Linked DNA regions of Diceros bicornis minor. The protein of the gene in region 1 interacts with the protein of each later gene in a pairwise test. Links are inferred from orthologs where the notes say so. Each region holds a gene or a part of one and is shown on either strand. Other genes may lie near its edges.

Evidence for each region.
Region 2: the proteins of KAT5 (region 1) and GAPDH interact in binary tests that used the Homo sapiens proteins (3 or more experiments, as listed by UniProt). The link is inferred for Diceros bicornis minor from reciprocal best matches to the Homo sapiens genes KAT5 and GAPDH.
Region 3: the proteins of KAT5 (region 1) and ODC1 interact in binary tests that used the Homo sapiens proteins (3 or more experiments, as listed by UniProt). The two-hybrid records come from large-scale screens. The link is inferred for Diceros bicornis minor from reciprocal best matches to the Homo sapiens genes KAT5 and ODC1.

The regions. Positions count from the first base shown.
Region 1 is NC_080770.1:7,514,126-7,519,121, reverse strand, and holds the start of KAT5 (histone acetyltransferase KAT5), read left to right. Parts: upstream 1-1,656; 5' UTR 1,657-1,851; coding exon 1,852-2,029; intron 2,030-2,353; coding exon 2,354-2,422; intron 2,423-2,513; coding exon 2,514-2,650; intron 2,651-2,910; coding exon of another isoform or gene 2,911-2,937; coding exon 2,938-3,093; intron 3,094-3,182; coding exon 3,183-3,257; intron 3,258-3,366; coding exon 3,367-3,441; intron 3,442-3,988; coding exon 3,989-4,237; intron 4,238-4,314; coding exon 4,315-4,404; intron 4,405-4,996. UniProt on the Homo sapiens protein: Catalytic subunit of the NuA4 histone acetyltransferase complex, a multiprotein complex involved in transcriptional activation of select genes principally by acetylation of nucleosomal histones H2A and H4.
Region 2 is NC_080756.1:55,148,908-55,153,903, reverse strand, and holds the start of GAPDH (glyceraldehyde-3-phosphate dehydrogenase), read left to right. Parts: upstream 1-1,982; 5' UTR 1,983-2,043; intron 2,044-2,302; 5' UTR 2,303-2,320; coding exon 2,321-2,343; intron 2,344-4,127; coding exon 4,128-4,227; intron 4,228-4,309; coding exon 4,310-4,416; intron 4,417-4,537; coding exon 4,538-4,628; intron 4,629-4,754; coding exon 4,755-4,870; intron 4,871-4,963; coding exon 4,964-4,996. UniProt on the Homo sapiens protein: Has both glyceraldehyde-3-phosphate dehydrogenase and nitrosylase activities, thereby playing a role in glycolysis and nuclear functions, respectively.
Region 3 is NC_080751.1:69,739,699-69,744,694, forward strand, and holds the start of ODC1 (ornithine decarboxylase), read left to right. Parts: upstream 1-2,287; 5' UTR 2,288-2,421; intron 2,422-3,758; exon of another isoform or gene 3,759-3,892; intron 3,893-4,854; 5' UTR 4,855-4,969; intron 4,970-4,996. UniProt on the Homo sapiens protein: Catalyzes the first and rate-limiting step of polyamine biosynthesis that converts ornithine into putrescine, which is the precursor for the polyamines, spermidine and spermine.

The DNA.
Region 1 (4,996 bases):
ATCTTCAACGCAAACCATGCTGGGATGAATATGTGGAAAGTTGTGTATATAAGGATGCTTTTTATAATTTTTTATTTATTTTTTTCCCCCAAAGCCCCAGTAGATAGTTGTATGTCATAGTTGCACATTTTTCTAGTTGCTGTATGTGGGACGCGGTCTCAGCATGGCCGGAGAAGCCATGCGTCGGTGCGAACCCGGGATCCGAACCCGGGCCGCCAGCAGTGGAGTGCACACACATAACCGCTAAGCCATGGGGCCGGCCCTAAGGATGCTCTTTATGGCACTGTTTGTAGGAGGAGAAAATTGGAAATAACGAATATTCGACAACAGGAAATTGGTAATGGCAGCCAGGGTGCATCTAAACAATAAACATTATGTAGCCATTAAAACAGTGCTATAGAATATTTAGTGACGAGTGTTCAATTTATGTTGCTAAGTGAACAAGCTGGTCACAGAACAGTACACACAGTAAGAGCTTCTGTTTTATTAAACAGACAGCACAACAGTCTATAAAGCAAGGGTTGGCAAACATTTCCTGTAAAGGACCAGACAGTAAATATTTTAGGCTTTGTGGGCCATATCTCCTGCACGATTATTGTTTTAATATGAAAGGACTCATAGACAAAATGTAAATGAGGGGGTAGCTCCAATAAAACTTTATTTATGGACGTAGAAATTTGAATTTCATAATCTTCAGGTGTCACAAAATATTCTTTTGATTTTTCCCCAACCGTTAAAAATCATAAAAACCATTATTAGCCCATTGACTGCAGGAAAACCAGCAGAGGGTTGGATTCTGCCTGCAGGCCATAGTTTGCCCACCCCTAGTCTAAGAGACACTCAACCAAAATATTCCCTGTGGACACGTCCCCTGATGATCTGAGGTTATACTTTTCTCCCCTTACTGTGGTCTGTTTTTCTGGAACAATTTCCCCGCAGGTAACTGCACAGTTCATCCCTTCACCTCTCTAAACCTTTGCTCAACTAACACACTTCCATCCAGGTCTGCCCTGAGCACCCTACTCAAAATTGCCATCTACCTACCCATCTCCCTTAATTTCCGCATTTTTTTTTTTGTTTCCCATAACACTTATCACTCTTTAATAAACTAAATAATTTACTTTTTAATATATTTATTGTTTATTATCTATATCCCTCTTTTTCCTCCAACCCCCAAGAATGTAAGCTCCATGACAGCAGGCTTCTTTATTCACTGATGTGTTCCAGGCTCCTAGAATAGCGCCTGGCACATGGTAGGGGACCATTAAACATTTGTTGAACGTTATGAATGACGTCACACTACTTTTAAAATTAGAAACCCAATATACAAAACAGCAAACCTAGAAATCTTCCGTGAGTCTCCATCCCTAAGAAATGAAGTCCATAAACTTGGCCAGGTACTGAGGTCCCTTCCCAGTCCCGCCCACCTCCCCAGCCTCCCAAACCCTCCAGACCCGCCCCCCGCCGAGCACGCGCAGTTCACTCCCGGCGAGACCTCCCAGTGCCACTAGGAGACGCCCGAGCTCGGCCGCCCCCAAAGCACAAACACTAGTCGCACGTGACCCGCAGCGACGTGACCGGCGTCGCACTTGGTGGGCGTCACGTGACGGACTCAGCTTTCCTCCAATCGCTATGCACGTTATGGGGATTCCACCCAAGACCCGGCCCGAGACTTAAAACACCCCATTCTCCCGCCACCCAGGCAGACCGGCTCCCTGCTTCCACCTGGGCGGCGGTGTCTCCCAAGGGTCCTCTTCCAAAGCGTCTTTGGGAGGCCGAGGCCTACAGCGCGCTCAGTCCCGGAAGTGACGTCTCCCAGAGGGGCCGGAAGTGGCAGTGGAGGGAGGGAAGATGGCGGAGGTGGTGAGTCCGGTGCCCGGGGCGGGGCGGAGGGAGCCAGGGGAGGTGGGTAGAGCCCGAGGCCCCCCAGTAGCCGACCCTGGCGCCGCGCTGTCTCCCCAGGGGGAGATAATCGAGGGCTGTCGCCTGCCCGTGCTGCGGCGGAACCAGGACAACGAAGATGAGTGGCGTGAGTGACGTCGGGTGGGCGGGGCTAAGGAACCTAAGGGCGAGGGGCGGGAGAGAGTCAACCGAACCCTCGGGAGGGGGAGGGGCCTCTAGAATCCTGGGGCGGGCGGGGCGCAGATACTCAGGAGGGGCGTGCCTTTTAGCTCCGGGATGGACAGGGCGGGGCTTGGAGAGAGGGCGGCACTTGGTGACTAACGGGGGCTTGGGCGAGAGCTTCCAAGTGCTGGGGCTTAGAGATTCGGCCTGGGGGTGGAGTTCAGGTCGTAGGAGGGTGGAGCATTATGGCCAGGCCTGTCTAAGGCCGCCGTCTGTGCTGTTCCCACAGCCCTGGCCGAGATCCTGAGCGTGAAGGACATCAGTGGCCGGAAGCTTTTCTACGTCCATTACATTGACTGTGAGTTCTGGGCTGCAGTGAGGCGGGGCTGCAGGGTAGGGTTGGGGGGCAGCTTCTGGCATTCCCTCCTGAGCCATCCCCACTGCTGCAGTCAACAAACGCCTGGATGAATGGGTGACCCACGAGCGGCTGGACCTAAAGAAGATCCAGTTCCCCAAGAAGGAGGCCAAGACCCCCACCAAGAACGGACTTCCTGGGTCCCGCCCCGGCTCTCCAGAGAGAGAGGTGGTGAGTAGGTCCCCTGCTTCACCTCTTCTCTTCTGCCTCCTACTTCTCTCATCTCTTGGCCTCAGTGGCTCCTGGATGGGCAGGAGGCAGTGCTCTCCCACCCTGGCTTCAGCTGGCAAAGGACAGGGGCCAAATTACAGATGTAGCTTCGAGTCCAGTGGCTCTTCCTATGTCCTTGAGAGGGCAGAGGGTGGGGTTTAATCATTTCACGCTGAGGGGCCCCTACTCCCTTTTCCATCCCACCGCCAACCCCACCCCAGAGGAAGACCCTGGACCTATCTCTACAGCCGGCCTCCGCCCAGGCCAGCGGGAAGACCTTGCCAATCCCGGTCCAGATCACACTCCGCTTCAACCTGCCCAAGGAGCGGGAGGCCATTCCCGGTGGCGAGCCCGACCAGCCGCTCTCCTCCAGCTCCTGCCTGCAGCCCAACCACCGCTCAACGGTACCCTCAGCAATTCCAGGGACCTTGCTTTCCTCTCAGGTCCCACCTTCTCTACCTTCTGACCCACCTTTCTTGGTTTCTCTCTACAGAAACGGAAGGTGGAGGTGGTTTCACCAGCAACTCCAGTGCCCAGCGAGACAGCCCCGACCTCAGTGTTTCCCCAGGTGAGTCCCCCAAACCATCTCTTCTCCCCTGCCTTTCTTCTGCCCTCTGGTGGCCCCTTTCAGGCTCATCTCACAGCCACTCTTTCTCTTCTTACCATCTTGCCTGCAGAATGGATCAGCCCGTAGGGCAGTGGCAGCTCAGCCTGGACGGAAGCGCAAATCGAATTGCTTGGGCACTGATGAGGTGGGTCTGGGGAAGAGAGAAGCTGTGTGAAAAGTGGAGGACACAGGCAGGGTGGAGTGTTTAGTGACTAGTTTAAAAATAAACAAGGGGTGGTGGGCAACTACGGTATTGGTGGGAATAAGAACCAGGCAGATGGGGCTAGCCCAGTGGCCTAGTGGTTAAGTTCAGTATGCTCCGCTTCAGCGGCCCGGGTTTGGTTCTGGAGTGTGGACCTACACCACTCGTTGGTGGCCATGCTGTGGCAGTGACTCACATACAAAATAGAGGAAGATTGGCACAGATGTTAGCTCAGGGCAAATTTTGCTCAGCAAAAAAAAAAGAACCAGCCAGAGCTCGTTCAGATCAGGCATTGGGTGATCTTTTCCAAGTTTTGAATGAAAACTTCCCAAGTCTTAGTTTGTTTATCTGGAAAGGGGACTGTACTACCTCTGCCATAGGGTTGCTGTTAGGCTTGAATAAGGAAACCGCTGGGAGGGCTGTGTGAGCTGTAAAGTGTCCTGCTTGAGTTGTCTCCTGTAATCTAGTATCTTCCACTGGCCCTGGACAGGACTCCCAGGACAGCTCAGATGGAATACCGTCGGCTCCGCGCATGACCGGGAGCTTGGTGTCTGACCGAAGCCACGACGACATCGTCACCCGGATGAAGAACATTGAGTGTATTGAGCTGGGCCGGCACCGCCTCAAGCCGTGGTACTTCTCCCCGTATCCGCAGGAGCTCACCACGCTGCCTGTCCTCTACCTTTGCGAGTTCTGTCTCAAATACGGCCGGAGCCTCAAGTGTTTGCAGCGTCACTTGGTATGAGGCGTCCTACAAGGCTGCCCTCCTAGCACCCCCCACCCTCCCTCCACCCCTGATCCCCCTCTCTTTCTCAGACCAAGTGTGACCTGCGACATCCTCCAGGCAACGAGATCTACCGCAAGGGCACCATCTCCTTCTTTGAGATCGATGGACGTAAGAACAAGGTAGGGGCTGAGGGGCACCGGGCACTGGGGAAATCAAATGGGCAGCTTCTTCCTGCTCAGGAAAACACTAACTGGCCTGGCCAGCAGAGCAGTTCTCCCCATTTTTATTGAGTTCCTGCTATAGGGCAGGTGCTGGGAGGTACAGAGACAACCAGGAATTCAACAGAATCTCTGCTCTCTGGGATCTCACAGTCCGTGGGGAAAAGACATGCCAACAGCCACTTAGGTGCCAGTGTGCTAAGTGTCATAAACAAAGGGTGGGTTATCAGGACCCAGGGGAGGTGGTCACCAGAGCTTCACATAGGAGGTGACCTTTGAGCCTTGACATGGAGGGTAAGTGGGTATCCTGCAGGGCAGGCCTGGGCGTACAGAGACTGTGTGTGTGAAAGGCCAGGAGCCTTCTGGCTGAAGGGCAGAGAGGATGAGGCCAGGCTGTTACCAGAGACAGCACAGGTGGTGGGAATGTGATCAGTTGAGGAGGAGTCGGGGACACTGCCAGGTTTGGGGTTACAAACGTGCTTCAGTCTGTGGCTGTGGGAGGAAGGAGGGAGTAACCTGGAGGACCATTGAGAGCGAGACTCCCCCGTTCCTG
Region 2 (4,996 bases), on another chromosome or scaffold:
GCTCTGTGCTGCCACCTGAAGCTGTCCACCCCCTCCACCTCCCCACGTCTTCTCTGCTGAGTCACCTGGAGCAGGAGGCAGGGAGCCTGCTGTCATGACAACACTGGTGTCTTTGCTGTCATGACAACAGCAGACTGCGTCAGTAGTGCTCCTGGGCACTGAGCTCCCTCTTTTTGGCAGAGAACAATAATCAAAAATGACAAGCATGAGGCGAAGGGGAAGACAGTACCTCAGACACTTGCTTTGGGTGGTGCAGGAACATGGAGGGGCTCCTAAGGCCCTTGTCAGGAAAGGGTTAATGGTCCTGGTGGAGCCTGAGCAGGAATGGAACAGGAGCAGCTGAGTCCACTTCAGCAGACTCTGCAGTGTGGCGCTTCCCATCTCCTCTCACCGTTAGGTGCCCTCTGGCCCCGTTCTTGCTGTTCATGAAAAGCCTGGGCACCAATCATGCAGATGGCTGCCAGGCACAGGCACAGGCACAGCCGTGGCTCTGGGGCCCCAAGGAGGGAGGGCAATCCCAGAAAGGGAAAGGACTGGGGCTGGAGTCTGGGTGTGCGACAGCGTCCTCTCTGCCTCTTAAGCAAAGGTTATCACCAGGCGGGCTAAACTTAGCCTGTCAGTTAGAAAAGGGGGCTGGTCTCAGGTTACGCTGGGCCAGCAAAGAGGCCCCAGGATCCCTGTCCCCCAGCACCTGCTGATAGGCAACGTCCATTCCATCCCACCCCCTTCTAAACCCTCACTCCTTTCACGTGCTCAGAAGCAGTCCTTTCTCCAACCTCAGCTCACAAACTTGGCACAGCCAGGCATCCTGACCCCTCGCGGAGGGGAATGGATCCTCTCCTCTACCTCACGTGTGGGAAGGGGCTGGGGACCTGTTCCCACCATGTACCCAAGACCTCCCATTTTTTCCCTACTCTGGACTCCTCACCCTGCCCCCAACAGCCCCGGGCGGGCGCAGCCAGTGAAGGGGAGTCCCTGGCTCCAGGGCTGGGCCGCACGTCCCAGAGTGGGGAGGGACTTCCGCCCTCACGTCCCGCTCTCTGCCTTGGGCTGGAGGGGTGAAAGGGGCATTGTCTCCAAGCCTGGGCGGCGCGGCACGCGGGTTTCCCAGGAGACACTTTGTGGGAGGCACCACCCAGCCCCCAAGAGTGATCCGTCCTCCCGCTGGGGCCCTGGCCTGGGGGAGAGCATCTGGTGCACACAGGGCCTGGTTTGTCTGCCCCAATTATCAGGTCTCCAGGCTGCCCGAGCTGCAGGACAGCGTGACCTTCAGCGCAGAAACCCTCCCCCCCGCAAACATCTTCCTGAGCCTCCTTCCTCTCCAGGCCCCACTGCCCAGTGCCCAGCCCAGGCCCCCGGCCCAGAGAGGCCTGGAGCCAGGAGATGGGGAGGAGGAAGTGGGGGCTGGGAAGGGCCCCGCAGAAGGCGGATTGGCCCCTCCCCGGCCTTCTACTTGGCTGTTCCTATGTCACTACCGAAGAGCCTCGAGGAGAAGTGCCTCAGCCTTGGAAAGAAGGGGGAGGGGGTGGCAGTGTGCAGCCGCCAACGTGACCCGGGCTCCGGCTCCAATTCCTCATCCCACCAGCTCCCAAAATCTTCCCGTTTCATCCGTGCAGCAACTTTAACTTCCCTGGCTCCTGGATATCCTCAGTTCTCACCAGGACCACTGTCCTCGAGTCCACAGTCTCCTCATGCCACAGTCCCGTCCTAGGCACCATCACCGATCACCTCCCCCATTGGGCCAGTCTCAGTCCCCTCCCCCTCTCTGTCCCTAGCCCACACGCGTGGTGCGGGCACATCTGAAGAGCCGGCGGGTTCAAAAAAAAAAAAAAAAGGCAGGCCCGGCTACTCGCGGTTTTACGGGCGCACGTAGCTCAGGCCTCTGCGCCCCAGTGCCGGCACTTGGGGGCCGGCAGGAGGCGGGGCCGCGTCGCCACGCCCCGGCCCCCCTCCCTCGCCTCTATAAATTGGGACAGCAGTGTGCGACTGTGCTCTCTGTTCCTGCCCGGTCCACGGATAGCCGTGTTTCTTGCGCAGTGCTAGGTAAAAACAGGCAAAGCGGGGCCACCAAGGGCTCAGGAACTGTTCCGAAAGGGGCGCGGGGCTTGCGCAGGCCAGGAGCTCGGCTGCGCGGTGCGGGGTCGGGGTGTGCGCGGCCGGGCCTCCGCATTGCAGGGGCCGGACGTGCGGAAACGCGGGTTGGGAATGGACGCATGGGGGAGGGGAGCGGCGGGGAGGGCGACGGCCGGACTCCAGCGCTTCCCGCCCCCGCGTGCTAATGCTCGCCTTCCTCTTCCCGCAGCCGCGTCCCCGGGACACGATGGTGAAGGTCGGAGTAAACGGGTGAGTTCGGGAATGGGCTGGGTGTGGGGCATTGAGTTCTGCGGCCCCCAGCAGTTTGCCCTACCCGGATCTCTGCGAGCGGGTGGGGAAGGTGGGTGGGATGGTCGAGCGACCCCACCGAGGAGAACTCAAGGTCAGCGCTCAGACCTGGCAGAGGCTCCCGCCTCAAAGGGCCTCGTGTCTCCCGCCCCCAGCTGTTGCGCTTGCTGTAACTCCACTCCTGCAGGGACAGCTTGCCCGGAGTCTTCCACTCCACCGACCATGGGCAGACGAGTCCCCAGTTCTTGCTTTGGACCCATCCCCTTAATCTCCTAGCTGGGGCTTCTTTTTTCCTTTCGCGCCCTGCGAGGTCATGTGCTGGAGAGGAGCCTCTCCCCCCACCAGCCTCCTTCCCCTCACCTAGCCAGGCCCAGGCCCAGCAGGGGGATGCAGAAGGCACAGCGTGGGAGGGTTCATTTGCGGTAACCCAGCCGCCATGTTGCAACTGGGAAGGAAATGAATGAACCACCGTTAGGAAACCTGCCTTAGCTCTTCAGTCTTCCTCCTCCTCCCTTGCCTGTGACTAACCCTCCAACTCCTGCCTCTATGGGGTGGAGTCGCCTTTATCCGGTAAAGTAGGTGAGGCAAGGCTTTCCTCGCTCTTGCTTTCAAAAGAGCTGGACCTCAGAACTGGGACCATATTAACCCTGGACCATCCCTTAAACAACCAGCTGAATTTGCCCTCAGGGATAATGCTTTTCTTAGATGATTCTCTGATGGATCAAAAACGGGGATTTATGGGGATCCTCTTGCATGTTTTTTTGGGGGGGGGAGCTGTGGCAGCGGTGGCTTAGTGCCATGTTGGGGGAGCTGAGTCATGGGGAGTTAGAAATTTTCCACCACAAAATGGCTCCTGCAGCAGCAGCCCCTTTCTTCATCGGCCTCTCCCTGAAGCGCCTTTCTTTCATCCATGCCTAGAGCTGACCCAACCCCAAAGGCCAGGCCGTAAAGGTCACTGGGAGGATTAGGTGTCTGTGAGCCTTGGGAATCCTGCCCTTCTCCCTATTCCATCTTCCAGAAACCAGATCCCCACTCCACCCTAATCTGAGGTTAAATATAGCTGCCTGACCTTTCTGCAGCTGGGGGCCTGACCAGTCTGCTCTCTTCCACCTCCTTCTCTCCCACACACATCTGTTGCTACTGCTCCTGATTTTTGGAAAAGAGCTAGGAAGGACGGGTAGTTTAGCAAATTAGAGCCCAGGGATTAGGGGCTTGAGAAACCATGTTTTCCCTGTCTCCTTCCCTTTTGTGGGAGGGACTTGGAAGATGGGTGGGCTTTCCTCATCCAGTTAACTTGCGACCTTTACTCTTGCCCTTTGAGCTTGGTGATGCTGAGTGCACAGTCTTGCTCCTGAGAGGGTGTAGCCTGAAGTTGGGCCAGACAGGAACAAGCCTTCCCAGGGCAGATAGCTGGGGTGATGAATGCCATGTGCCAGGCATGTGCCCCAACTTTGGATGGCAGCAGCGTACCCTGCACTGCTGTTTCTCCTTGAAGGACTTCAGATGGCTAGGGGGTGGGCAAGTCTGTGAGCCTGATCACCTCTTGGAAAGGATAGGAGCCTTCACTTTATGACTAAGCTGTGCCTGGAGGAAGATAAAATTAGACCTCTTGGAGCTCTCTGGTGGTGGGATGGCCATCTTCCCTCTGAAAGAGGATGAGTTGGCCTAGGGCTGCTTACATACATGATAGGGTAGAAGTCTGTACTTCCTCCTCCTCATGCCTTCTCACCTTTTGTCTCCCTCAGATTTGGCCGTATTGGGCGCCTGGTCACCAGGGCTGCTTTTAACTCTGGCAAAGTGGATATTGTCGCCATCAATGACCCCTTCATTGACCTCAACTACATGGTGAGTGCCGCCCATGCAGCTGGTATGGGGAGCAGAGCCTGGCTGAAGCACAGTCCTTTGATGCCTTCATTTGTTCCTCCAGGTCTACATGTTCCAGTATGATTCCACCCATGGCAAGTTTCATGGCACAGTCAAGGCTGAGCACGGGAAGCTTGTCATCAATGGAAAGGCCATCACCATCTTCCAGGAGTAAGTATGGAAGACGAAACAGGAAGAAGAAATCTGCCTTTGGGGAGGTACTAGAATGGGGTGACCACCTTGGGTACGTGGTACCTCATGTCCCTGAGCTTTGTCTTGTCGTCCTTTGTAGGCGAGATCCCGCCAACATCAAATGGGGTGATGCTGGTGCTGAATACGTTGTGGAGTCCACTGGTGTCTTCACTACAATGGAGAAGGCTGGGGTGAGTGGCAGGGAGGCTAAAGAGGGGGGAGTTGACCCTGAGATTTGGTGTAGCAGAAAGGGGGCAGGGGGCTGGCTTCAACCTGGAAAGATAGAACCTGGGTTTGTAATGCCTCCTCTACTGCAGGCTCACTTGAAGGGTGGAGCCAAAAGGGTCATCATCTCTGCCCCTTCTGCTGATGCCCCCATGTTTGTGATGGGTGTGAACCATGAGAAGTATGACAATTCCCTCAAGATTGTCAGGTGAGCATGGCGGAGGGGAGTTGAGAGGGGAATGAAGGAGTGGTCAGATAGTACTACATGTTACAAGATGGAATGCTCTTTCTCTCTTTTCAGCAATGCTTCCTGCACCACCAATTGCTTGGCTCC
Region 3 (4,996 bases), on another chromosome or scaffold:
AGGGACACACCATCTGGCTTCCTGAATCAAGAACTTGCCCCTATGTTCAGCTAATACTTCTAAATCTAAAACACAATCACAGAACTGAGGTATAGATCTGGCCCACACCCTTCCTTTGATTGTGGGAGAAACAGAGGCTCACAGAGAGTCAGGGAGGCGGCTGAGGTCACACAGCGGCAAGCTGCTGGCAGGATGGGGGCTGGCTGTCCTTCCCTGCATGCCCGGCTGCTACCAGAATCCCACATGCTAAGACATCCAGTCCCCTCTGCCAGAAGGAGGCTGCAGAGCGGGGACAGTGTTCACCTCACAACGACTAGTTGATTGATGTGCCACCGAAAGTCGGGCAGTGCAGACAGTGCTCCTCTCTTGGCCTTGCCACTGGACACGGGAGACTTCCGGAGAGTGAGGAAAAAGGAAAACTCTGTGTGTCATTGGAACAAACTGTTCCTTCACAGAGGGGGACAAATACCTCCGTGCTCACCATGGAATCAAAGCTGTCCCATTTGGCGCCTGGGGCTATAATGCTCCCTGATGGGATTGTTAATCTCATCCTTCCATAGGGATTGAGTTTGTCAGGATGGAGATAACTCCCCTCTCTAGCACCCAAGGGCGGCTCAAGGATGACGTATACAATGTGGATCAGGGTGCTCAAGAGGAAAGCGAGCTCTGCCCACCATGTCCCTCCACATAGGAAGATGCACTGCTGTTCTCCCTGTTCGACTCTGCCGCAGCCAGGCGCGCTCCAGGGAGAGTCAGATCATTCACTCATTCAGCATTCATTAGACAAGTATTCACTGACTATGCCCCAGGCCTGGGGGCCAGTACAAAGATTTTTCAAAACCTCACAGGGTGTTGTACTCCTCGGGTCATCTAGTCCAGTCTCCTCTGAGGCCCAGAGAAGGGAGGTAATTTACCCAATATCACGCAGCAAGTTGGGGCCAGGGCCAGGCTACAGCGCTGAGCTCCTCCAGCGTCCCCTGCACCCACTGCGTGGCCAGGGCTAATGTCACACGTTCTGTAACTCCTACCGGCAGCCCTCAGGTCGGTCACAACCCACATGATAGGGTGGGACGTAACTGTTGGATTTTGTCTTCAAGGGAACGAATGGTAAGAATAAAAGAAAAAACTCTGCCCCCAATGCCTTCAGCCCCTCCCTGGGGCTGGCAGCTGGGGGTGGCCCGCACCCCCAGAGAGGCACAGTCCTCCACCAGAGGCCTTGGCTGCGCTCTCTTAGGGACAACCAAATTCCTAGGCGACTTTTACCATATGTATTCAATTGCGTAGACACTGCTGGTGTGTAGGACTTACATAACTTTGAAAGCGTGCCAACTGCGGTTGCCCTTAAAGATGCTAGTCATTGATGAGCGCCATCCCATATGGTAAAGGGCAGTGGAGACCCCTTACCTCCCACCCCTTCCCCTAACGCCTTTAGACGAGTCTCTGGCTTGAAAAGCGGGACGTTTTTCAACGTGGATCTCCGCGGGTCCACTGCTGTCTGCCATCTAGCTGGAAATGTCAGACACGGTTTACTGGCGCCGCTAACTTGCCAGGTGCCCTTCCGCACGCCCCTTCCCCAGAGTCAATGTCTCTGCCCCCTTCTTGGTGGAGTGGCGCCAGAATCACTTCCAGGTTCCTTCCACAGGGATGCAGGCGCCGGGCAGAAGGGGCCAGAGTCCGCCCGGCCGGCTCCACGTGGCCCGCTCGCGCCGGCGATTTCCTTTTTCTGCCCGAGGGCACGAGGCACTTAATGCCAAGTGCAAGAACAGTTGTGCGTGTCGCGGATGCTGAAATTCGGCGGCGGTCAGCGGCGGGTTTTGCAATTCTGCGGCGGCAGCTCTTGGCCCAAGTCTGAAGGCGGGCGGGCGCGCGCCGGGCGGCGCGCGGCGGGTGCCGGCGCCGGATGCATCGCCCGCGGGGCCCAGCGTCTGCGGCGTAGTGCGCGTGCGCTGGCCTGCCGCGGGCAGGGAGCGGCGCGAGACGGCCCGGGGCTGCGGCGTGGTGCGCGTGCGCGGACCTGCCGCGGGCCGGGAGGGGCACGGCGCTCGGAGGCGCTGACGTCGAGCCGCCCTCGCCCCCCGCCCCTGCGTCCGACCCCGGGTTGGCCGCCGCCGCGCCCCGCCCCCCCTCGGAGGACGCCCGGACGGAACCGATCGCGGCTGGTTTGAGCTGGTGCGTCTCCATGACGACACGCGCGGCGCTATAAGTAGCGGCGCGGCGGCGCGGCGGCTTTGTCAGTCAGCTCAGCCTCCGCCGCCGCCGCCCGTCTGCCAGCGCTCCGGCGCCACCTCGGGCCGGCGGTCCTCCGCGGGAGGGAGCGAGCGGCGGGCGGGTAGGCGGCCGACGGGGGCGGCGGGGCGGCCGACGGTCCTGCGCGCTCGCGGCGTCTCCATGGGGCCGGCCCGCGGCGCCCGCGCGCTCTAGGTAAGAGGGGCATCCCGGCGGTTGGGGGGCTGCAGGGGAACGGCCACGTGTCCCCTCGCGTCGGGACGGGACCGGGCCGGATACAGACCCGGAGCCGCGAGGGACACGTGGTCGCAGAGCCGGCCGCCGACCCTAAGCTTGGAGAGCCGCTGCCTTCCGGCCCCGGTTCCCCCGAGAAGCGGGGCCCGGCCTGCCCCTGCCTGCCCCGGCTCGGGGCAGCCCGGCCGCAGGGGCCGCGTTTGCCCTCCTCCGAAGCACGCCGGGAGGGCTTCGGAGCCGGAAGCTGTCGGGAAGGCCCGGTCGTCCCTGCAACCGCTATTCTTTTTTAGCCATGTGGCAAGCGCGGTAGCAGGTGCAGGAGAGGAATGAAGAAGCAGGCCCGTGCAGGTCCCGGGGTTCCCATCGCTCATCTCGGTTTTATAAGGATGAGACGTATCATTCTGCCTTGTTGCCCTAGAGTTTCTTTTTCTGTTTTGTTTTGTTTTAGTTTTTAGTTTTGCTCTATGTACAGAGCAAATGACCCGATATAGAAACCCGCCGGAATTTTTAGAGCTAAGATAGCCTTGTAGTAGCTATGATAATAAATACTCGGCCAGCCGTGACTTAAAATTGTCTATTTAAGGAATCTTTGAATGACTTAGTGGTTTTAGAAAAGCCTAGAATATTAAGATCCCAGTTCAGGCGAACGGACTTACAAGTAGGAGCCAGCCCCAAGGGTTTCAAAAAAGGCTAATTGTGTTGTTTGAGAATCCTAAATGATTGATGAAAGTGTGGGGAGCAGAACGTTTTAGAAGTGTCTAGGGAGGACAAAGAATGTGTTGATTTTATTCACACCTAAAATTGGGCATAATTTAGTTGTGAAATTTTTTCAGTTTCTATTTAAATTAATCCCGATCTCTTCTAACATTACCCAGTTGGCAGTAAAGAATTTCATACCAGAAAAGTGCTGTTTTGTGCTGATCGATTGATTCGATTCATCATTTTAAGTTATACAGCTATAGAGAACACCAAAAGGTGTTGTTGGGTGAAATTTCTCTATATTGCAGGTTGTTAAAGCTTTTAAAAGATATGGGAAAGCAAAATATTTAATAGTGGTATATTTGAAAGAAATAAAAACTTACCATGTTTAAGCCTGTACACTGTCTTAAAGACGTTTAACAAAACCCTAAACCACCTAATCTGTCACCGCCTGAGCCTATTCAAATGTTATTTAAATAGTCAAAATGGGTTTGCTGGCGTTAGTCTCTTGCCTTCCGCTAGGGGTGATTTAGACAACGTAGGAGGTTGACAGTGCCAGAAAGTCACATTAAATCAAGTCTTAAAACAAGTTTCAACGTGCATGGGTTTGGATTTATGGCAGGCCCGTCCCCCTGGGCCTCTCATAGTGCCCCATGCCAGAGCAAACTGGCCCTGAACCATTGCCTGGCCTCTGTGCCCGTAGGCTGCAGGCACTGAAGCGGGTTGCACAGTGGAAAAGAAGAAAGCCCTACCTGGCAGGAATTAAATAGGTTAAAATCAGTAATTTTAAGCTATTCACCAGTGTCACATTTCACGAAGGCTAAGTAAGGACAGTGGCTCTGATTGCTTCAAGCTTTATTTTTGCCTATTCTTAGTTCATTTATGCTTGCTTATTTTGTTATTCATTAAGTTAGCCAAAAATTATTCCCGTATGATTATCATTCTTAGCTAAGCGAATGTTAGAGTGCCTGTAAGGACAGTTGGGGTTCCCAGAATTGCTAATTTAGTAGGCAACACTGGTTCAAGAATGCTGATTTCTGATCAGATTCCGCAACTGGCAATACATTATGTTGATCTGAAGATGGCAATTTTTAAAAATACATGCTCAGCATGAAAATTAGCTCATAAAAGTCTCAGGAAACTTAAGAGCAATCAGTAAGTTGAGAGCACTAGGCATTTCCATGATGCCTATTAGACACTAAAAATTATTTTGTGTAAGACTTAGTGAAAGTAGGAAATAGCAGGATGTTTATATGGCAACACTCAGTAGTTCCTGTAATGCTATTTTAAGCTTCTGAAGAGCTGAAACAGCTCTGAAATAAAAGTAAGCTGACCCTCGTAAGGCTTTTTTCCGTATCAGTGAACTAAATGCAGAAAAGCTTCTGAAACCTGCATTCTGTGTTTTTTAGTGTGAATATTTGAAATGCTTATTTTGAGATTCACAGCACGGTATATGGAATTGTAGTGTGCTGCTTTGAAAAAATCTGAAGTGTTGACTCTGTGGTGTCCTCAGATACTGTAGAGGTTTTTGGAGTCCTGTGACTTACACTAGGAATACTGGGATTCCCAGACCCTGTGAGGGAGCTGTCTGGAGGGTGCTTGAGTCGCTCTGTGTGCTCGAGAGAGCAGTGCCTGATCTTTCAATTTGATGTGTTCCTAAGAAGGTGGACAGCAAATTCTGTGTTTGTTTATCAGAACATTTCCCCTGCTGCGCCGAGGGCATCTTCAGTAGGACTTGGGAATTTCTGGAGAATCACCTTTGTGAAAAGCTGGCAATACTTCCTTTAAATTCCATCCCTTAGTTTTCCATGTAAGTATTCATGGTTGTTGCAGGCTA